Caenorhabditis elegans: one gene and its partners. The protein of the gene in region 3 purifies or fractionates together with the protein of the main gene of each other region. This does not show direct contact. Each region holds a gene or a part of one and is shown on either strand. Other genes may lie near its edges.

Region 1 (9,431 bases), on a different chromosome or scaffold from region 3:
ACAAAATAATCGGTGCTGAAGGCGATATGTGCATGGTAATTTAAAATAATTTTCATTTAATTATGAAGTTTTATAATTTTTAATTATAGGTAAAATCAGATGGCTCCACTCCGATCAGTGTGACATTGACAACAAGAGAAAGCCTGAAAAGAAGTCCATTCTGGTGACCTGGCAATGAACAACGCTACAGCATTTATTACACACGTGCATCATCATATCGGGATTCCCAAAATTTCATTCGATCTAACTAATTCTAAAAACTTTATTTATTAATGTTCGGGTGATATCACATGTGATCCCTTCCTGTGTTTATACTAAATTTACTTGTTACGAGTATTTCTAATGAATGATCTCTCTCTCTCCTGTTCTAATTAATTTTAAAATGCTCCTGGAAATTCTACTTGATAAAGACGCTTCCATGACATTTTTCAAATTTCAGCCGATTATTTGAAACAGTTGATAAGAAAATGTGTATGAACCAATGTTTGATCTACGCTCACGCTTTGCTCTGAATCTGAAAATTAGTTTAGTTTTAATTTCTCCCCGTATTCGTATTAATATCTACACTCATTACCCCATTTCTTTGTGACATGCTACAATTTATAATAATAATAATAGCATGGAATCTGGCAATCGCAACAAATATTTCACCTGCGAAAGATGGAGTTATGGAGTTGAAAATGGTTCATATCGTAGGTTTTATAATGTTTTGGAATCTAGTGTTACGATTTTTGAAAAGGTTTGGAGGCATGGAGATAGATCACCTACGACTACATTTAACGTGGATCCATTCCAAGAGGATAGTTGGACATTTGGAGGTGGAGGATGGGGACAGCTTTCACCGGTAATGATTGTTCATATGGAGTTAATATAGTTGTTTTGGATACCTTTCAGCTCGGAATGAATCAACATTTAACTCTTGGAAAGAAGCTTCGCAATCGTTATGTCAACACAGGAAACTCCACCCACAACTTCTTACCAGCAGTCTATGATCAAAAAACAATGTACATACGATCTACGGGAATCAATCGAACTTTGATCTCAGCCACTTCAAATATGCTCGGAATGTATGGACAAGACGGCTACGGTAGCTCGGCTGGAACTGATTTTCCAGATGCTCAGGGATGGCCACGTGGCTTCGTTCCTATTCCAGTTCATACCGTTGATTATGACAGTGATCATGTGAGATTTTGGGCTATTTGAATCAATAAAAAATTGGAGAATAAAGGTGAAGTATAGAAAGTATTTTACATCGCTCCACGCAATAATGCCCAAATATCGTAGTCAGGCTATCTTAATTTTGGAAGTGAATAAAACACATTTCTAAAAGTTTTATTTTTTAATTGCGTTTCAATTATTTGTATTCAAACTTTCTAGGGAATCTAACCTACAACAATGCTCGGAATTACTCAAAAAATCCGTACTGTTGGAAAATTTGGCAATTTACCAAAACTTTGAATTGGTGTGTCTTATTATGAAATTTCGACATATTAGACTATTGTACTATTTAGACTAGATCGGAAACTTTAAAACTATATTTAATCAGAAGCAGTTGTTTTAGATTGGAAATATGGACTGCATCTGCCCACGTCGTGAATGGCTCTGGAATATTGCTCAACAATCGGACGAAATGAAGAACTGGAGAAGCTCAGTACCAGTTTCATCAGTAATCGACAAACTAACGTCACTGGTTAATCAAACATGGAGTCTAGAAGATTTCTGGACTGTCCCGGATGCCTTATTCATTGAACAAATATATTTTAATGAATCACTTCGAAAAGAGAATACATGGTTCAATGATGATTTTTATAGTCAAATTGTGGCAGTAAATGATCAAATTTATATGTATCAATACGGAGTATTCAGTACGTTGTTTTTCTAAGAACATTGTATGTAATAATTTTTCAGATAGTACTATTAATATGAACAACATGAATATTGGCCTTGAGCTTCTGAAAGTACGATCCGGACCTCTTATGAATGATATGATGGATAGAATTAATAAGAAAAGTGATTGTACATATGGAAAAAATACACAAGGGTGTGATTGGATAAATGGACTCAAGTACTTCGTTTATTCAGCTGTGGGTTTTTTGGTAGTAACCTTAAGAAGCTTCTGGAAATTTTTTAGTTGTACATGTTATTCACAATTGAATTATTACATTAAACATTTTTTTTCAGCACGATGAGACCGTATACGCAGTGCTAGTAGCTCTTGGCATCGAACGATTTGCTATTAAACCTCACGGATATCCACTTTATTCCGCTGCCGTATCGGTTGAATATTGGAGAAATACTACTGATAACGCTGACTATTTTAAGGTAGGTTTGTTCGGTAAAGCAATATTGTAATATCTAAGTTTTGAAGCTGGTTTACCACAAACAATCTGGAGATGACTTTACTGTGATGACGAAGGAGATTACTGGATGTGGAGGAGATTACTGTTCAATGAATGTGTTGAATCAAATTGCAAACAATTTAAAACCAGATCAACCTATTGATCAATGGTGTCTCGTTACCGGATCCTCGAACTCTTCTTCACTTTTATTTTTGATTATATTCACTTTCATTTCAAAATATATTTTATTCTAGAACACTATATGATATTCATAAATATTTATTGATGTATGATAAATAAAATACACTTTTTTCGCTTTAAAATTAAAATTATGGCAATAATGTGCGTAGGTAGGTTGTTTCCTTTTGAATGGATCTATCGTCTTCTCTTTCTGCAGCATTGGTTATTTCCACAAAGTGAGAATCCAGTTGAACAATTGCATTGTGAACCACTCATTGCACATGGTTCGACTTGCAACGGGCAGTTCTGTTGACAGGCGTTCTGGCAAGCTGGCAGACAGAATTCAATTTGGGTCAGAAGTTGAGTTTTACATTGATCAACGCACTGATTAGCACATTGTGGAGCACATGTCACAGTTTCTTCCATTGGTTTTTTAAGAACAATTTCCAATTTGAAAGTTGGTTCTGCAGATTCCTTCACGATCTGAAAAAAAACAACGATATTTTAACAATTTGCCAAGCAGAACTCTATCAGCTGATATTTCAGTTACAGTACTTCAACGCAAGATGATCTACAACTGTCAGTACAAGCTGTGCTGCATTGTGGAACACTTTGGCTGTTCTGTTGAACACATGAAGTTTGGCAAGATTGGGTGCAAGCTGGCATACAGTTGTTGTCAGCCTAAAAATCTTCAGTTTTTGCAGAAAGTTCTAAATTTTCTGACCTGTGGAATTACAATTTCAAATTGATAATTTTGAATACACTTTGAATCACAGACAGGTTGACAAGCTGGAGCACACTGCTTGGAGCTCTGATCATTCATTGGGATCGTGAATGTGTATGTCTCCATACAAGATGGTTGGCAAGCTGGTTGACATTGTGGCTGGCAAGATGGCGTCGGGGGTGGAGTGGTCATTACTGGAAGTTTAAGAGTGAAGCTTATGCATTGTGGATCACAAGCTGGTTGGCATTGTGGAGCGCATGATGGGGCTGCAGTAGTCATTGGAATGGAGATAGTGTAGGTAGTTGCCTGAAAAGAAAAAAACTATGGTGGTTATTATAATTTTAATTTATGTTTATTTACAGTTCTAAACTTTTCCTGTTGTGTTGTTTTTTCTTCAAATTTTATATCATATTTACCTGCTGGACACACTCTTGAGTGCAAGCCGGTTGGCATTGTGGAACACAGGTCTTTGTGATTGGAACGGTTGTTTGAACAGTGATTTGTTGTACACAAAGAGGTTCGCAGGCCGGTTGACATGCTGATGGACAGCTATTTCCTTGATTCCCTTTGGAGTAACTTTGTTGTATAGTAACTTGGTATTGAGACTGAATGCAAGATTGCTCACAAGTTGGTTGACAAGCGGGAACACAATTATACTGACGTTGCTGTTTCTGTTGAGAATTCATTTGTTGTACTTGAATCTTGTAAGTTTGAATGCATTGTTGATCACATGATGGTTGGCATTGAGGAATACATTGTGGAGAAGAAGTTGAGGTTGAAGGGGTTTCATCAATCATATTAATTTGAACCGAGAAGTTTGGCTGAGCAGCTACACATTCCTGAGTACATGCTGGTTGGCATTGTGGAACACAAGAAGACTGTGGGATGTACTGTTGAGACAGTTGCTGAGGTTGTTGATAGCTGTTCTTGATCTTCAGCACAATTTGAGCAACAATACATTTAGTCTCACAAGCTGGCTGACACTCTGGGACGCATTGTTTTGGAAGCGAGATAGTTGTAGTAAAGGTGTCAGTACAAGATGGAAGACAAGCTGGCTGACACTGAGAAACGCAGTGAAGTGGGGCTGGAGTCGTCGTGTAAATAGCAACACATCCTGGATCACAAGCTGGTTGACAGATTGAGATGCACACTTTGGTTACTGGTGGAACTGTTGAAATGCCTGAAGACCCCGAAGAAAGATACTGATAAACACATTGTGGCTGGCAAGCTGGTTGACAGGCTGGAATGCATGTTTCAGGAGCACGAGTTGCTTGTGTTGCTTGAGAAGTTACGATCTGAATCTGAAGCTGTCTCTCTACACATTGTGGTTGACAAGCGGGTTGGCAGGCCGGGATACATGTTTCTGTCGTGGTAACTGCTTGAACACATTGTGGAGTGCACGCTGGTTGACAAGCCGGAATGCAGGAAGCTGTTGTTGGTTGAGCTGTAGTTTGAATAGAAACAGTGACCGATTGAATACATTGTGGAGAACAGGTTGGCTGACACTGGGAGGGACATTTCTGGGCAAGTGGCATCTTTTGAATAATCACTTCATACCGCTTCATGACATTAATACACTGAGCGTCACATGTTGGTTGGCAAGCAGAGACACATGATCTTGATGGGGCTAAGGTTGTGGTCTGAAAAATTGAATATTTTTTTGGTTGTGAAAATTGGTCGTTCAGACCGAAGTACGCATGAATTCTTTGACATTTATAGATACAGCAGCTTGAACGCATGTTGGTTGGCAAGATTTGATGCACATATCAATGCAATAAGATTTATTTGGCTGAGCTGTGCAACTGTTGGCACATGATTGAGCACAGGCTTGTGGGCATTGAGAAGCCTTGGTTTGTTGGTTTACAACTACCTGTAATTATATTATTTTATTTGGGTTCAAAGAATGGTAAAGTAGTGCCTTAATTGGTGGAAAATTGGACGATGAGCTCGTTGATGTAGATGGAGTGCATGCCTTATTGCATGTAAATTGACATGTCTTATCACAAAGAAGCTGTGGCTGATGGGAGTTCCTTACACAAGAATCTACACAAGACTTTTGACATGATGGTTGGCATACCGATGTTTGAGCCTGAAATTTCAGACTTGTACTACAATTCCATTCCACAAAGACTTGCCTTATTGGCACAAGAACATCCGCTTGATTGTGGCTCATTTGAGCATTTGCATCGTTGCATTCCACTCCCAATCGGATAACAATTGCATTTCGATTTTTGTGACAGTTGCGCACACGGGCATTGTCGCTTGGCTCGTGTAATCAAGCTCTAAAATGTATGGGATATTAACATGAGTCAGACGTGATAATCAAGTGAGCGACAGGTCATTGTTTGTTGAATTTGCGACATGGCACCGGTTTATTTGTTCTTGTGTTATTTGTATGTGTGAATGTGGGAAAATGTCATAGAAAGGCGGAACCCTTCTCATGGACATGAAATATGATATGGTTCACTTGAGAATGGCGAGACTTGGAACACTTTGCCGAGACAGGTCATCAGTCGGTCAAAATACAAGATATTGCGAAGATCGAGAGATTATAAAGAGTCATGGATGTGCAATGAAAATACTGTAGGCGCGTAGTGTTTAGCTATAAATTGGGATGATCAGGGAAACTAACGTAATTATTTTTCAATTACTGTAAACTACTAATTACACAACTATAGAAAAATAATTGAAAAATTGCACATTTTTAACAAAAAATAAAGACAACCAAAATATGAGCTACATAATTTAAGCAAGGGATTGTAAAAGTTGAAAAAGGAAATACGGTGTTTCTGCATTGATTTTTACTGGAAAAATAAAAATTTACTAGAAAAATAAAAAAAAAACAGTGATATTGGGAGAAAATGTTTCATAGGAAGATTTTGGACTACGTTTTCAAAAGTTGAATAAGAGATTGTAGAATAAGGAAAATGGATGAGAGATATTAGAGGTATAATTTTATTTTATTTTTAATATATCAAAAATTACCTGTTCTGAATCCACAAGGTATGATCCAATAACTATAAGTAATAATATAATGTTCGTCTTCATATCGTTTATTCGTAGAACTCCTCTCGGCGGTACTGCTGGCCGACGACAGTGAGGGAGGTGCTCTTTTGGTGCTCCGCTTCCTTCCGCCACTGTCTTATATACGTCTGTCATGTTGCCGCGGCGGTAGCCATCAGGCGGCAAAAAATTGTAGGATGCTCCTCCTTTCCGTCTCGATGCACCAGGAAGGAATTTACAGGAAGAAGACGAAGAATGGAGGAGACGCAAAAAAACGGATCAACTTTTTGCATCGGATCGTCGTCCGAGGACCGACGGAAATTGACGACTAGATTTTGGATTTTTGGTGGATCCTTGACACGGCCTGAAAAAAGTGTCTAAAGTGCTCAATACGATGTTTGTACAGGGTGGGAATCTCTATGTATTTTGATCCATTCAAAAAGTTGTCTCAAGGGATGTACGCGTATTTAGACAGATCAAAAAGTTGCCGGTGGTCTTCATTGCCGGAATGAGGGATCTTAAAGTTTTCAGTATACATTTTATGTTCCAAGTGTTCGACAATTCTTCAGGGAAAAAACGTAGTTGATCATGTCTGAGCTTAAATCATTTGAATTTGTTTTTGGATTTAATTGAATATGTTTTTTTTTGTGAATATATTTACAATTCAAGTATCAGAAACTTTTCCAGTTACACAATTTCTTTGAATATTACAAAGTAACTATCAAATAAAACTTTATCACGGGAAACACTTGTAAGTAGTAAGGAACTTGAAATATTACTTAAATCCCGTTTTTCCAACTTGGTAATGTCTAAAAGTGTTTCTTCGTACCTTCATAATTCAACACCCTGCAGAAAAACAATATTTCTTTTGATGAAATTGCATATTGTTCATTTGATTTTTTCTCTTTCAAAAAATGCCAACCTATTCATTTTCAAAGTCCGTCACTTGCCATCAAACAAAAAAAAACAAGTCAAGTTGGTCATTGCCAAGATGCGCAAAAAGTGATCATTTGATGCTCAACAATGCGTAAGCATGTTCCACACATTTCTCGCCTCCACAATATGTTTCTTGCCGGGTTATTTGGTTATTTCGTTGCCTTCCGCAATTGTCCGAGAATGAGACTGTGTACGTTGCAAAACCGTAAATACACAACGCATTATCCCACCAGTGGTGCCTTCTTCTGATTTTTGACTGGCAGTGGAGCATGTGGGAGGATTAAATGTGAAACAAAACGGGAAGGTGATGATGATGCATTGCCGATAGACACGGAGAAGCTTCATTTCCTTTTTTAGGATTGCCATTCTTCTTTGTAATCAAGACAGTGGAGACGGAGAGAAAGTGAAGGAAGTTGAGAACATTTTGACCGATGACCGTTGTGATTGACAAGAAAAGGAGTACTCGTGTGATCTTTGTTTCCCGAGATTGACGGCTTCTCCTACACTCTTGTCTATTTTAGTGTAACTATCAAAATTTACTATTTTTACTGTAGTTTCTCTGTTACTCTTGCATCCGATTACTCAACTATTGCAACTCTTATCTCATTTATCTTTGGGTGATTCCCTTTTGACCTTCAAGCTTATTTCAGCTTCAAAAATAATTCAGGATTATTTTTGCCTCACTCTTTTTTGGAGCTGGTTCAATACATATTTAGAAAACTAAGCGTTCATAAAACTTAAATATTTGTATTGATTCTTGTCTATTTCAATTCAGAAAACGAAACAATTATCGTGAGAGAGTAGTATTTTGGTGTGCACCTATGATATTAATTATGTAGTGACGTGGTGCAGCTGGAAACATTGAAAATCTATACGTGCCAATTGCAAAAATAAAATGCACACTTGTAGATCCTCGATATCATTTTATGAACTTTTCACTAATAATTCACTCATGAATATTCCAAGATTTTGTTCATGTTCTAGACAGAAATAGTTCATTCAAAGTTTATTCATGGAAGACGAAAACTAAGAAATAAGTTCTATTTTTGAATATTACGTTATTCGATCAGTAATTCATACGAGCATTCCACATACCCATATCACCTGTTTCCGTCTCGAATTGTATTTTGATAAGCTTACAATTTAAAAAAAGAAATTTCAATTTTTTATTTTAATTTTTTATTTTTTATTAATTTGTAATTTTTTTTCAACATATATTGTGACGCTCGTGTTGTTGAAATACTCCAAATGCATATTCACTATTTATCCGGGATTTGTGTTCTATTCCTAAAATGCCACACATATCCTCCTAGACAGTCTAATGCTGGCTAGTAACATGACACCGTAATCTGACACCGTTTTATTTTCGAAAATGTGTTTCACTCTTTTGACCGTAACCCGGACAATTCCGGAAAATACTTTTCGGGTAGCAGCGTTGTTGTGATTTACGTGGGTTGCGCATCTAATTCATTGTTTACTTCTTGAAGATACACGTAACACGAAACTTGCTTCTTTTCCCTCATTTTTTGTTCATCTTATTTGCACGTGAACAATGGGTGAGTTGGAAATGTGTGAATGATTGTTTGAGCTCAAGACGGTGCGGAAAAGAAGAAGCGTTCTTTGGCAGAGAAGACGAATTGATCTCGCGTTGATTCTTCCGGTTGAAAAGCACTGAAGTTTCACACGTGAAAAATGATGAAAGCAGCAAGTTGCTCACTGATATTATTTTTGGATGGTTGCTTAAAATGCACAGAATGTTAATTATCGGAAACTTAGCCTGAAATCTGACAGTCTAAAAAGTCCTCGGTAACAATATATTCCCTCAAAACAAATTCTCTAAATTAATCTGAACCAGTTCTCAAATTGTTAAGTGAACAAAGATTATTTCTGAAATTTGAGAAAATGTTATTTACAATCAGCGTAATTAATCTCTAATTTCAGCTCTCAAGCTCATTTTACTTTTAGAATGCGGAAGCAACAACCTAGTTGTTTCAATTCTCAGTTGATCATAAATCCATTGAACTTTATTTGTATCTTTACATATCTGCACTAAGTGGGAATTATATTATACAAAATGTATGTTTAGGGATTTGTAACAAGGAAGAAAAGAAGGAAAAGAAGCAGCAGTAAAAGAACTTTGATCATTGAGAAAAGGATCAAGAAGCTTCGTTTAGCCAAAAAATATAATCAGTTTAGAATGGGTGAGTCAGATTTTTGTGAATATATTTTCTTCTGTTAAAAAACTTGTT
Region 2 (6,732 bases), 1.8 Mb from region 3:
CTCTACACATTCTTACTTCGTTTGAAGTGCCTATTCATATCTTTGGAGCATATATAATTATGTCAAAAACTCCGAAGGCATTTTTAGATTTTTATATCAGTTTCTTGACGTCCCCAGTTCTATCTCTCCCAGCAAGTGCCTGATATCCATTGGGATTATCATTATGGTTGAATGTTCCAGCATCTATTCAGGTTTATTTAGGATTCTCCCTTGTTAGCGGTTAGTTGAAATTAGCATTTCAAAATTAAATTGTTTTTTATAGTTGTCAGTGCTTCGATTGTCTTACTTTTTGAAGACCGATACTGTGTTCTAGGGAATGGAATATCTGTAAAATTTTTTTTTTTGAAGCGGAAAATATATTCTATAAATTTGTATATAATGTCATTCATGTTTATGTCTCCCAGTTATTTTACGATACCTGACCAAAACGAAGGGAAATTTTCTATCATGCAGGTATTTTTAAAGTTTAAAAATGTGTCTCATAAAGTGTTCCAGGAAATTCCCAGTTTTCCATTTAATGTTTTCAATCGACCTGGTTTTTTATCCTTGCTGTAGATGCAACTCTTACTGCACTTTGTGTTTCATTAATGGCTTCTTTTTTGATGATTCAAGGTTTATTTTTTGCTATTTCCATTGTATGGCAGATGTCATAAAACTCATCTTCGAGATCAAAAGTTGTGAATAAAATGCAAAAACAATTGATAATAGCTCTAGGAATTCAAGTAACAATACCTATATTCGTGTTTTTTGTTCCTATGTCAATTCTGGTTATTATGATTATAAAAAATCAAGTTAACCAAGGTACTTATTTTATTGTATTTTATTTAAAATTAAAGATACACGATCTTGATATTTTAGCAGCCACAAATATTTGCGTTATTCTGGTTGCACTTCATGGAATAGTTTCAACTATAACAATGCTCATTGTTCACAAACCATATCGAGAAACTGTTTCAAGTATATTCAATTGTTTAATATCCAATAAAACACTGCCCGTGAATAGATCTCAAGTTTGGATTACCGTTGGTGAACACAAAATTTTTGCTAAAAACGCAAGCTAATATTTGAATAAAGATCTTTGAGATTAACATTAAAATTAAAAGGAAATTGAACAGATTTTTAATCAGCTAATACAATTCTGACCAGTCAAATTCAATCAGAAACCACGCAGTGCCCAGAGCAATAGAGCAGCTGAAAGTATTCATATTCAAGACTTTTGATACTCGTTCTTTTCATGAGTTCATTTGTCTTTGTATAACTCATATGTGCTCACAAAATATAAGCTTTTTTGCAACTGATGAATTTTATTCTGGAGTCCTACATGTTCTTACTTCAATAGAATTACCGATTCATTTATTTGGTGCATATATTATTGTTGCGAAGACACCAAGAAAAATGAGAACAGTTAAAGCAAGTATGCTCGCACTTCATTGTATTGGAGCATTTGTAGATTTTTATCTTAGTTTTATTGCAATTCCAGTGTTGACTCTTCCTGTTTGTTCAGGATATCCACTTGGATTTTCATTAGTTTTAGGAATTCCAACAGATGTTCAAGTTTATTTAGGTATCTCATTTGTTGGCGGTTAGTCTAAAGAAGGATTAGTAATACCTGAAAACAACTTATTTTCAGTGATAGCTGTTACAATTTTATTATTTTTTGAAGACCGTCATCACCGTTTAATTAATAGTAACATTTCGAATGGTGCTAGAAACTGGAAACGTGTTCTGTATTCAATTATTCATTATATTATTTCGGTCACTTTTATTGCACCGGGATATATGAACATTCCGGATCAACTACAAGGAAGAGCTACTGTTCAACAGGTTGGTTCGTCGTTACCAAATATGAAACGAATATGAAATCTACCCATAGTCTGTATCAAAGGGGAGCGGCAATAAAAAACGTTCAACAATTCAAAAACTATCGAGTTCAAAAAACTTTATATGCAATTTATAGTGATAGAGTTTTGAACCGCTAATTCAACGTTTTATTCTAACAATTATATTTCAGGAGATTCCATGTATCCCAAAAGATGTCATAAATCGACCTGGTTATTTTGTACTATCAATCGTGAATACAATTCCTTGCCTTTGCCTTATTTTCATGTTTTCACTCATCATTCCTCAAGCTTTATATTTTGTTCTTTCTATTTTTTGGTATCTCTACCACACTGTTTCAAAATCACAGGTTACAAATCGCCTCCAAAAACAATTTTTCTTTGCTTTATGCATTCAAGTATTCATACCAATTTTTGTGTTATCATTTCCCGTTCTATACATAGTTTTGGCAATTTGGTTCAACTATTATAATCAGGGTATGAAAGATTTCGCTCAAAACTGAACTGATTTAATGATATTTTTTAGCTGCCACAAATTTTGCACTTTTTGGAATTGCACTTCATGGAATTCTATCAACGCTGACAATGCTTTTTGTGCATACTCCATATCGTGAAGCAACTTTCCAAATATTCCACGTCAGTACGAAACGAACTGCAAATGGTTCTCAACAAATATGGAGAACAACCGTTGGAACACAAGCACAGCAAAGTATTTGGTAAAATACGTATTGAATGATTGTACTCATTTTTTTTGTTAAATGCAACTTGATAAAATAATTTTCAATATATATTAATACATACAGTAATCACATAAAAATTGGTAACATAAATAATTAGTTTCTACTTCATTTTAAACATCTTCGAAATGTGCAAACTTCCTGGATTTCCACAATTTTCAATTCTCCCTGACGTTCATTTGGAATCAGAACTGCTTCATTCTGCAATGAATCACTGAAATATAAGTGCTATCCAGCAATGGTTAGGCGATTTTTGTTGCATCAAAGTTTAGACTTTTGCAAAATTACAGGTGTTTTTGATTTTTGTGAAATGCCGCTATCATTTTCAAATCTTTGGTTCTGGTTTTGACTGAAGATAAAACAAGTGGGGATTTTATTTGCATATTTTAAAAATATACCAGAAAGGTTAAAAATCATTATGAAAAAATTCAGGAAATTTGGAAAAACACTGTCGCATATTTTACCCATCACCACATTTTAAAATTAAGAATGAAAAAATAAGTTCAACATAAAATTTTATGAGATGTTTCTAAATTTTTCTGCTAGAACTTCTTGAAACTTTTTGACGGTAAGCAAATACATTTTTTTGAAATTATAAATTTCCCACTTTCTCGGTTGTTCAAAATTTGCAAACGGCGGTTATAATAATCGTAAATCAAGTTGCATAAAAAAAGAGTCGTATGTAAAATAAAAATGAGATTCAAGTATAATCGTATCAAAAGAAAAGAAACAAGATATTTATGCCTTCCATCAAGATGGTTATTTGATCGATATGCTATTCACCTTGGTCAAAACACAACGATCACATTTTATCATAGAAAAAAGTCGTTTTCCTTACTTTCTAGTTACTACAGTTGAAACAAGTGTTATTTCCGATATCCTAATCAATAAAAGTAACTAACCGAAAAATGCACGTGTTTGGCCTGCATTCTGATCTCTGCCATCTCTTGTGGAAATGTATCTGTCCTCCGAATTTGCGTTGGTATGTTTATGTTTTGATTTAACTTTGCTTTGGGTTTTTCTTTACAAGACAAGATGCATCCCATTGGGCTGAAATTAAATATTCGTTATCAGGTTAACAGTTGTGTTCGGAATTTGGAGAGAGAGAGAAAAACAAAAAAGTTTGAAAAAACCCGTCAACGCATTTGAAAAAGAAATTTTCTTCAATCGTCTATCTGTTCTTATGTTCTCCACTGTGGTTTGCCTCGTGTTTACCTAGAAGGACAAAAATGGAGAGAAGACGATGGCTCGTCGGCTGAGTTGACCTCCTTCAAAAAAACAGCTGTGAATTTAACATTTGGCTACAAGAAGACAACAATCACATTTTCATGAAACATTTTGAAGATAACTTTTAAAAGGTGATCAATGACTGCAAAATATATAGTCGTATTGATTTAATATTTTATGAGAACGTTGCATATTATTTACAAATAAATCTAAAATAATAATAGCTGTGAATATTAATTTTTAATTTTTCAATTTTAAACGCGACCATATTTTGTCCAAAAATGAAACGGTTAAAAGTTCATAATTCTCAGTATATGTAGATTTTACCTAAAAATTATTCAATATCGTTTTGCTAACTTAAAATTTTCAGGCAACTTTGTGGCAAAATGGGAATTCAAAAAAAATGTAGACTATTGTTCTATCTCTTTTAGGCAGTTTCGCACTATAAGAGGCATTTTTAACATTTCCCCGGTGGCGACCATTAAAAAGCTGATAATCTTCAAGAAAACTTTTGGTGAAAATGGAAAAGCTATTGCTGCGATCGCAAGTACATATAAGGTCTATTATATTTTACCTAACCAAGATTTTTTCCTTCGGGCGAAAATTAGGTACGAAGTTAGGTCCGAATATTAAATGATTCTAGTGGTCATATTATAATTTTCTTACATTCTCTGAAAATTGTATAAATAACTTTAGCTTTCATTGACTTTTATTCAATAATCAATTGACATATTAAACAATTAAAATCGAAATGCATTTAGAAAACTTGACCGAGAATTTTTCCCAATTCGTTAATAGCATTATTAAGCGCCGCATCTGGTGAAGCTGGTGTTGTTGCTACAGTGATCACTTCCGTAGCTGATTCTTCTGTAACTCCGGCAGCAGCTTTGGTGACAGCACCTTCGGTGGCGGCGGCATCGGTAGCGGAAGCTTCGGTGGCGGCAGCGTCAGTAGCGGAAGCTTCAGTTGTGGTAGATTCGGCGGCAGGAGTTTCGGTGGCAGCGGCTTCAGTTGTGGATTCGGTGTCAGCTGCTTCAGTCGTGGATTCAGCGCTGTTAGCAGTTGCTCCACCAGCTTGTCTCTTCCTTCTCGACGGAATAACTGGAACGAAGAAGTCATCTTCCAAAATTTCCTGAATCTTTTGCGCCAGTTGTTGTACTCCGTGTTCCACAGGAAGACCAATAATAGTTTTGTCGAGTCCAAGACAAGTGAGTTGCGTGATTTCGATTTTCTTAGAGAATCCGTTTGTAGTTGCATTCATATCAATAACAAATCCCTCATATCTTCTGTCATCGCGATTACAAACGAGAGTGACACCGGCGGTGCTTCCAATAGCGACAACACTGGCAGAACGGACATCACGAGTTTTGTTGTGACGAGCTGGATATAGTTAAATACAATCACTAATCTACTTTGAATAGTTCGAGATAACTAACCGAAAAGGAAGTTCAAATTCTTTTCATCTCTATCACAGACAACAAGAGCAGTCACTTTTCTGTTGTATTTGACATATCGAATGATTGGTGGATAGAATGCTTCCTCAGGGATACCAGGGAACTCACCCACATATGCTCTCAAACGTGGGCACTCTGAAATTGGTAAGATGTTTATTTATTAATGGACTACGGTTTACGTTTATGACGATGTTCACGACTTCCACTATCGTAATCCCAGTACACTGATCCATAAACCGGAGGTGGATAGTAAACATTTGATGAATAGGAAGAAGCCGGTGGATTATTGGCTGGTCCTGATCCGTATTGAGCACAAACTGCGGTAACTGCCAAAGAGATAGCAAGAACAACTAACATCTTGGTGAATGATGTTCTTTGTGGAGTTGTAAAGGTTTTTATAGAAAGAAATCAGAGGGAAAACATAAAACATCACGTCACAAAGATGGATGTTTTGTGAACGAATTTTGTTTTTTCCAAAAGTTTCAATTCTATTCAGACGGATATCCGAATGAAAATAAAATGAATAATATCAAACTGTATGTCTGATAGTTTTCAGAGTTTATACACACTGCGATTGGCTAAGACTTAATTTTTCAAACATTAGTCTGTTAGAGCATTTTACAAAATCGGAGACCAGAATCTAATAACTGAAACATAATATATAGAAACATTGTAGATGGATAAAGATGGGAAGGAAGACGTAGTTAATGGTACATACAGTGGCATAAGAGGATAAATTGAAAAACAAATGCAGAGAAAATGAAGAAACTTTGCTTGAAAATTATTTCAAACTTTATATCCCGCGTAGCCATTCGCATGCATCATTCAAATTCAGCCTTTTTGAAGATGTAATGACGAAATTTGTGGTGTTAATGGGTTCATAGGTTTCAGCATCTGAACTAAACTTTTAATTATTTCTCCTATTGAGGACAATTATTTTTTATAAACACCTAGAAGCCACAAAATTAATTCATGAGAAACAATAAAAAACAAAAACTATTTTAATAAAATTCCAGTTTCTAAGTAACTAACTAATGCAAATGTACCATTTTCATCTCTAATTTATCATTATACCTAATTCCTTAAATTTTTTTAAAGCTCTGTACTTTCTGATTTTGTCGACACCCGCTTCTCACTTTCCACACATTATTCCAGAAGTTAACTATATTTCATGAATCATCTTTTTTCTCTTTGTTGTGATGTCATCAATTTTCTTTTGAGACAAGATTTTGTATCTATGTTTTAATATAAACAAACTAGGTTCATTCTCAAAACATTTCTCAATGTATCATGAGCCTAGAAACGCTATATAAAAGGTGTCACCATATTTCTTTTATCATATTCGATTCCGAAAATGCATCTGAATCTTCTAGCTATCTCCGCTCTTTTTGGAGTGATTGCATGCAGCGGATACGGCGGCGACATCACCTACAATAATCATAATAACTTCCACGTTTTACATGATCGACATCATCG
Region 3 (6,596 bases):
GATAGTGATAGTTCGTAGTAGCGCTGTGTTGTGTGTACGTATCTCCGAACGCTTTATCATTTTGCATTTCGCCGGTTTTTTTGTCTATTTTCCTCTCCCGTTTATATTTTCCATTTCGAAACGGTGTTCTCACATTTCCCATTCTCCTGTTTGTACCCCCCAGTCTCTTCCTCCCCCGTTCTATTTTATATATCTTGCCCCGAGTATTCACACTATCCCATGCCGTTTCCCTTTTGAACACATTGTTCTGTGCAGTTTATTTATTTTTTGCTAACTTCATCCCACAACCCTTTCGGAAGTTAATTTATATCCATTTTACCTTGTATACCACAATTTCATACAAATGAATCACTACGCCGAATAAATAAATTGAGATTTGGAGTATCTGATTTCGGGTTAATCTAAAAATTGTATTCGTATAGTGCGATTCCTGAAAGATTCCTGAAATAGCAGTTCAACTGAATATAAATTTTAAAATTAGTTTTCAGAAATGGAGAGAAGCACCAGAGCATGGATGTCAATAGTTGTAGTTCAAGCAATGGGAAGTGTATGGATGTGCTATGCAAAACAGAATTCTGCATCTCACTATACTTCAACATTGCCAGCTCTTTCTAGAGCTCATGCTCTTCCGTTGGCATTGCTTTGTATCTTGAGGTATTATTTCAATATTCAAAAAAGTTAAAAACAAGGAAGATTTCTGTTATTATTTTTCAGAATCGTTCTAATCTTCGACTTTCGTAACTTCTCAATTCACATTGCTCACATTCTGCTCTCAATCCTCACAGCCATCCATACAATGACTGAAGTATTCTTCTATCAATCTATGTCTTATGGAATTGTCACTGTCACAGAAGTCACTCTCAACAGTTTTTCAGTTGTTGTTATGCTAACTTTCCTACTCTCTCCATCATTCAAAAACGAACAAGAAGGAAAAGAAAAACGAGCTAGAAAAGTGACAGCAAAACACTATATGGAAGGAGAAATGCTTACTCCGGAAGATGACGATGAACTTGTTCAGGCGTACAAAAAATGGAAATAAGTGTTATAATGAATTATTTATGTACCATTTTATTTACTAATCATATTCTAAGTTTCTAAATGTATTGCTTTAATCTCGCCATAATTAATATAAGATCTCACATATGTATAACTTTGGAAAAGCTTTAATAAACAAAAATACTTTATTTGCTTCTTTTCATACATCGTTCGTCTCTAAAATCTTGGCAATCTTTCAATATTCATAAATTCACTTTCTTCCATATGTGTAATAATATGGATAAGTGTAATAGTACAGAGGTTGAGCTGCTGCTGCAACCGATCCTGTTTGTTGAACATTTCCAGATTGATCTCGTTGAACTGTTCCACTATATTGTTGATTTCCCTGTGCATATTGAGTCTGCTGTTGTTGAGGTTGTTGGGCATATATTTGTTGATTACTAAAATCTGTTTGTTGGGTGGCTGCTGCACCAACTGTAGCTGTAGGATAATAGTAATAGTATGGAGTATAATAGCTCGTTGGATAGTACAAGTGTTGCGCAGAGGCCACAGCAAGAAGGGAGAACAGAGCAAGGAAACTGAAAATTAAGCAATTGACGTTGAACGTATGAACAATAAACTTATCTCAAATCTTATGTTTATAAAAAATAAGTAATCAAGCTATTAAAAATTAAGCTATATATATAGCCCAATAGGGTACTGCTAAGCAACGTTTTCGTGAGTCATTAAAGTGTAGTTTCAAATTTTTCCGAGTTAACAATACAATAAAAAAAAGTTTCTATAGTTTGTGTGCTTGTTCACATGTTTCAGGCCACTGCTCAGTGGATGCTTACTCCAAAAACCCTGTGTTCTATATTGTCAGTTTGTCTGGGTCTACAGTAATACGTTTCAAAATTTAAACTAAATATCAAAACTATTATTTTAAAAAGATTCAATAAAACTAACGTTAAAATAACAATTCTAGATGAAAAACTGATTCACAAAAGCAAATTAAATTTTATATTAAATTTGAGACTCACGTCTTCATTTTGGGGAAAGTTATATTTAGAATGATTAAGTCCAGTGTGTCGTTACCATTTTATACTTACTCGCCACACTCCCAAATTCCATCAGTGGCTCCTACAAATCACCAAAAAACTAAAAATAGTTTGTTCTACACCTCTCTCCTCACATTCCATCTTCACACAAAGTAGTAGATCAAAGAAGCGCGAAATACTGAAAATCTGCAAATTTCTATCTTTTCACTTTTTCTGTCATTTTCTTGTCAACAACATGTTCTTGGGACTCCCGAAATACGCATGTACATCCTTGCTTTGTTTGCTATTTTTCAGAAACACAAAATGACTTACAAACAAAAAATGTAGTGTTTACCCGTGGTCTTTATCGTGGTTTCTTGTGGAATTGTATATTACTAATAAGATTGGAAACATGGGTTGACCATAAATTGATCACAGTTATTATTGATTCATATGACTTAGAAGGTATCCAAGGTTCAGAGATTGACTAAAATAATGTTTGCTAGATCCCTGTAGAAGTTTATCACATAAAAGTCACTAAACTCTTTATAATTTTGGTTCAAACCGTGAAAATGATCATTTTTGGCATAACAACGTTAGACCAGTTGAAAATGATTTTCCAGCCGTTTATTTACATGAAAAGTCGTCGAATTTTTCGTGCTCAAAGCTCAAAGTTTTCTGTTAAAAATTATTTAGTAATTATTAACTTCGAGCTTACTAGAAATTTGACCCATTGTTTAGATTCAGATGAGTCAGTTTTACAGATTTGTAATTTGATAATGTTATTACTATAGCCATTTAGCATCTTGCACTTTTAATTAAATATCAATCTAAGGTATCAATCTTGAGCCTTGATCATTATCACCATTATCAAATTGAACCGTTTTAGCTTGCCGCCAACTGCCATTCTCAATGAAGTCCTTTTGAAAGTCAACAAACTCAGAGTCTTGCTCTCTTTGCTTTCTCACTATTTCTTTTGATTGGGCTCTTTTCTCTTGACCTCGAGTTTACTCAGTAACTTTGTGGTTGGCATGGATGGAATAAAAGAAAAACATACAATCGTGGAGTTTTTTCGCAGTTTTTTTCGGAATGCAACTGATGATGACAGTATTGGGTTAGACACACCCATTGAAATAAGGTATAAAAATGATCAAACGAAAAATCTTCACCATTTCTGCTCACTTCAATCGAACGAAATGAACACGTAAGTTTTCTAGCAAACGATTTATGTTATCATTAGGTAGGATGTGCATCATTCATTCGTAAATTTTCAGCCTCCTTGCTCTTTGCTCACTTCTTGCTGTGGCTTCTGCCCAATACTTGTATTATCCAACAAGTTATTACACACCATACTATTACTATTATCCAACCGCTGCAGTTGCTGGTACCACTGGAGTTGCTCAGCAAACTCAGGCTGGTGGAGCTTCCCAACAAGCTTATGCTCAACAGCAACCACAACAAAACCAACAGTATGCTCAAGGAACCCAACAACAACAACAACAGTATTATCCACAACAAACGCAACAGGGTCAGCAACAACAAACTCTTCAATACCAACAAGGAGTTCAACAGCAACCAGTACAGTATGATCAATCAGGAAATACCCAACAGGTTCAATATGATCAATCATCCCAAATGCAGCAACAACCACAACAACAACAGCAATACACGCCTCAATATGATCAATCTGGAAATACTCAAAATCATCAGCAAGGAACTCAACAGACTGGAGCTGTGGCTGCTCAGCCACCTTACTACTATTATACATCTCCATACTATTATTATGCTTATGGAAGAAAATAGAAGAGTATTACGGAACTTGCCCAGCCCATCGTTGTTTCATATTATGATTTCATTCCTCACACTGCCTTTATGCGAACGAAAATAATTGAAAAAAAAAACAATAAATGATTCGAAATTTATGCGAAATGTTGTGTAAGAAAATATTTTTGAAAAAGCAGATTAATACCTGAAAATATTTCCAATTAAAGCAGTGGAATTGTCTTCGTGCCTACCTCGTGCCTGCCTACATCTCAACTGCTGGCTTATTTGTTTACCACATGCCAGACCAATCAGTTTGCACGAAATATTATTTTTGAACTATTAATAAGATACATTTGTTATATCTGTACAGCCTGACACTTTTTTAGAGCGATTATTTGGAGAGTATTCAACACCATCATATTTTGATACCTGAGTTTCAGCCAGCTTAACAGTTTTTTCATTAAAACCGAACACAAATTCAACGGCCCACTAGTTACTCATAACCTAAACATTGGCAGGTGTTCTCTTACATAATCTGTTATAAACAAATGGATCGTCTCAATTTCCAATCAGGTATCAATGACATAAACAAATTATTCACCCTCCACCGTGCAACTCCATTAATTTCATTTCATTTTCGCAACAAATGATACCTAACTTACAGTTATTTCTTTCATTAATACTATTCGGCTTATTAAATCATGTATCTTCAATTGACTATGAAGAAATACACATCGAAGATTCATATGAAACAAGGTAACGAATCCTTTAATTTTTTTTCAAAATTACGTCCGAAAACATTTCAGATCACGTATTCTAATGGTTGATGGAAATGTGTGGTTGCATGCCGGAAAGGATAAAAATATAACGTTCAAAACGACTGGAAATGGAAGAATATATGTGGACGAAACAGATGTTTCCAAACTTCCAGATATTGTAGGTAGACTGCTGAAATTATCCAAAAAAAAAATGAACGAGCTTCTACAAAACATTTATTTTTGATACGTTGCTTTGCTTAACACACAGATTTCTTATTTAGTAGAGGCTTATGCCGATGGTTTCTTGGCAGCTTCCACTTCAATAAATTTGATGAGATCAGCTCGTTCGTCAGCTTTCTTCAAACCAGCGAAGACCATCTGAAAATTTCTTATTAATACTCCATCGCACTTCCTAGAAAATCCTACCTTAGTTCCGGGGATGTACTTTTTCGGATCAGCCAAATAGTCGAAAAGTGTTTGTCTGTCCCATACAACTCCTTTATTCTTGTTGGCAGCCGAGTAGTCAAATCCAGCAACTTGTCCGGATTGTCTTCCAATCACTCCGTTCAATGTTGGTCCAGTCTTTGTTTGCAATGAGTTGACAACGTGACATTGCTCGCAACGTTGTTTGAAGATCTGAAAATCAATAGGTTTTCTGGGAACACTATAATGAAAAATTTAACTAACCTTCTTTCCTTTCTCATTGTCTCCTTCTGGAATAGCTCCACCGGATGCCGTATCAGACTTCTTCTTGCCCATGTTTCAAGAACTGATTAAAACATAGACGGTCAGATTAGAAAAAGGAACGAAACGTGGATTACGAGTAAGAGTTGGAATTAGATAGTCGGAGATCACGCAAAAATTTACTTTTTGACAACTATTTAAAAAGAATCACTTTCCTGAGAAACGGTCACGTAAATTTTGATAATTAAGTTCTATTATTTTTATAAAACTTTTCAAAATGAATAATTGTTTGAAAATGTTTGAACTATGGAAGTTTTTGAAAATTAACTCGAATTACAATTTTCAATATTCAAAATAATTTTCAGGCATCTTTCAAGCAACTTGTTGGACGTATTGAGAACACTTCTCAAATGTTCACCACTTTGAAAAGTCGCCAGGACACGCAGACTTCTGCAATGAGAGTGGTTTTAAATTCTGCAAAACATTATCTAGTAGCGGTAATTCCATACATTTTTTTCTCTTTTTGAAATCAATTTTTAGCTTCGAAATATGACACTCGAAGTGAATATCTTGAAGAAGTGGAAAACTGATAAAATGGCCAGAGACATGAGGAGACGGGGATTATTGGTGAAAATGACACGTCAAATCATGTAAGACACAACAAGTTAGGTTTGACTATTTTTTATAAATTGTTAACTTTCAAGAGGAATCAACAAATTGATAGCAATAAACGCGTGCGATCCGAACAAATGTAGTAATGGAGGCACATGTATCCCATCTTTTGGCGCCAAATTCACTTGTCTTTGTCCTCCACATTTCACCGGTACAACTTGTGAAGCTGACATCGATGAATGCTCAGTATACAATGGTACAACTGCTGGATGTCAGAACAATGGAACATGTATCAATAACCGTGGCGGATTTGAATGTCAGTGCCAATCCGGATATCATGGATCTCTTTGTCAGTATCATATGTCCGCTTGCTCGAAAACTTTTGAATTGTGTGGTCCACATGGGCATTGTATTGAGAGTATTGTGGATCCAACTGGTCAGTCATCTTCCGATACAACTACGTACAAGTGTATTTGTGATTGGGGTTTCAAGGTTTCAAGTGATAAGAACAATCCAACGTGTGTTGATGTCAATGAATGCGAATCAAATCCATGTCATCCAGGAGTTGATTGTATTAATTTGCCTGGATCGTTTGTGTGTTCCGGATGTCCAAAAGGATATAAAAGTAAGTTAGAATTATATATGTTCAATCAAATCAAAAATAAAATAATTTTTTTGGTTTAATTCTTGTCTAGAAAATATATACTCGTATCCAAAACGTTTTCATAAAATAGGTAAGTAGGCATTTAAATAGGTCAATAGGTGT

The links.
Region 1: the proteins of ZC116.1 (region 3) and appg-2 fractionate together in Caenorhabditis elegans (co-fractionation; one large-scale study listed by BioGRID). This does not show direct contact.
Region 2: the proteins of ZC116.1 (region 3) and D1054.19 fractionate together in Caenorhabditis elegans (co-fractionation; one large-scale study listed by BioGRID). This does not show direct contact.

Annotation. Positions count from the first base shown.
Region 1 is NC_003280.10:8,798,062-8,807,492, reverse strand, and holds appg-2 (Activated in Blocked Unfolded protein response), read right to left. Parts: upstream 6,364-9,431; 5' UTR 6,292-6,363; coding exon 6,229-6,291; intron 5,526-6,228; coding exon 5,379-5,525; intron 5,333-5,378; coding exon 5,162-5,332; intron 5,114-5,161; coding exon 4,931-5,113; intron 4,884-4,930; coding exon 3,660-4,883; intron 3,550-3,659; coding exon 3,244-3,549; intron 3,201-3,243; coding exon 3,075-3,200; intron 3,003-3,074; coding exon 2,715-3,002; 3' UTR 2,604-2,714; downstream 1-2,603. Other genes in the region: F07H5.10 (Decapping nuclease), read left to right, coding at 1-35, 90-167; pho-13 (intestinal acid PHOsphatase), read left to right, coding at 591-692, 740-844, 895-1,182, 1,562-1,865, 1,909-2,084, 2,182-2,322, 2,369-2,593.
Region 2 is NC_003283.11:10,792,689-10,799,420, reverse strand, and holds D1054.19 (Ragulator complex protein LAMTOR5), read right to left. Parts: upstream 3,628-6,732; 5' UTR 3,622-3,627; coding exon 3,478-3,621; intron 3,228-3,477; exon of another isoform or gene 3,183-3,227; intron 2,777-3,182; coding exon 2,684-2,776; 3' UTR 2,604-2,683; downstream 1-2,603. Other genes in the region: srh-184 (Serpentine Receptor, class H), read left to right, coding at 1,264-1,582, 1,631-1,824, 2,012-2,315, 2,365-2,558; ule-3 (Uterine Lumin Expressed/locailized), read right to left, coding at 4,560-5,182, 5,239-5,391, 5,436-5,613; D1054.10 (DUF1525 domain-containing protein), read left to right, coding at 6,611-6,732.
Region 3 is NC_003283.11:12,606,925-12,613,520, forward strand, and holds ZC116.1 (Prion-like-(Q/N-rich)-domain-bearing protein), read left to right. Parts: upstream 1-2,901; 5' UTR 2,902-3,043; coding exon 3,044-3,216; intron 3,217-3,286; coding exon 3,287-3,815; 3' UTR 3,816-3,933; downstream 3,934-6,596. Other genes in the region: erg-28 (putative ergosterol biosynthetic protein 28 homolog), read left to right, coding at 491-654, 715-1,039; ZC116.5 (Conserved secreted protein), read right to left, coding at 1,247-1,574, 2,016-2,023; cubn-1 (Cubilin homolog), read left to right, coding at 4,423-4,532, 4,583-4,712, 5,584-5,715, 5,759-5,868, 5,923-6,455; cyc-2.2 (putative cytochrome c 2.2), read right to left, coding at 4,823-4,912, 4,961-5,170, 5,222-5,293.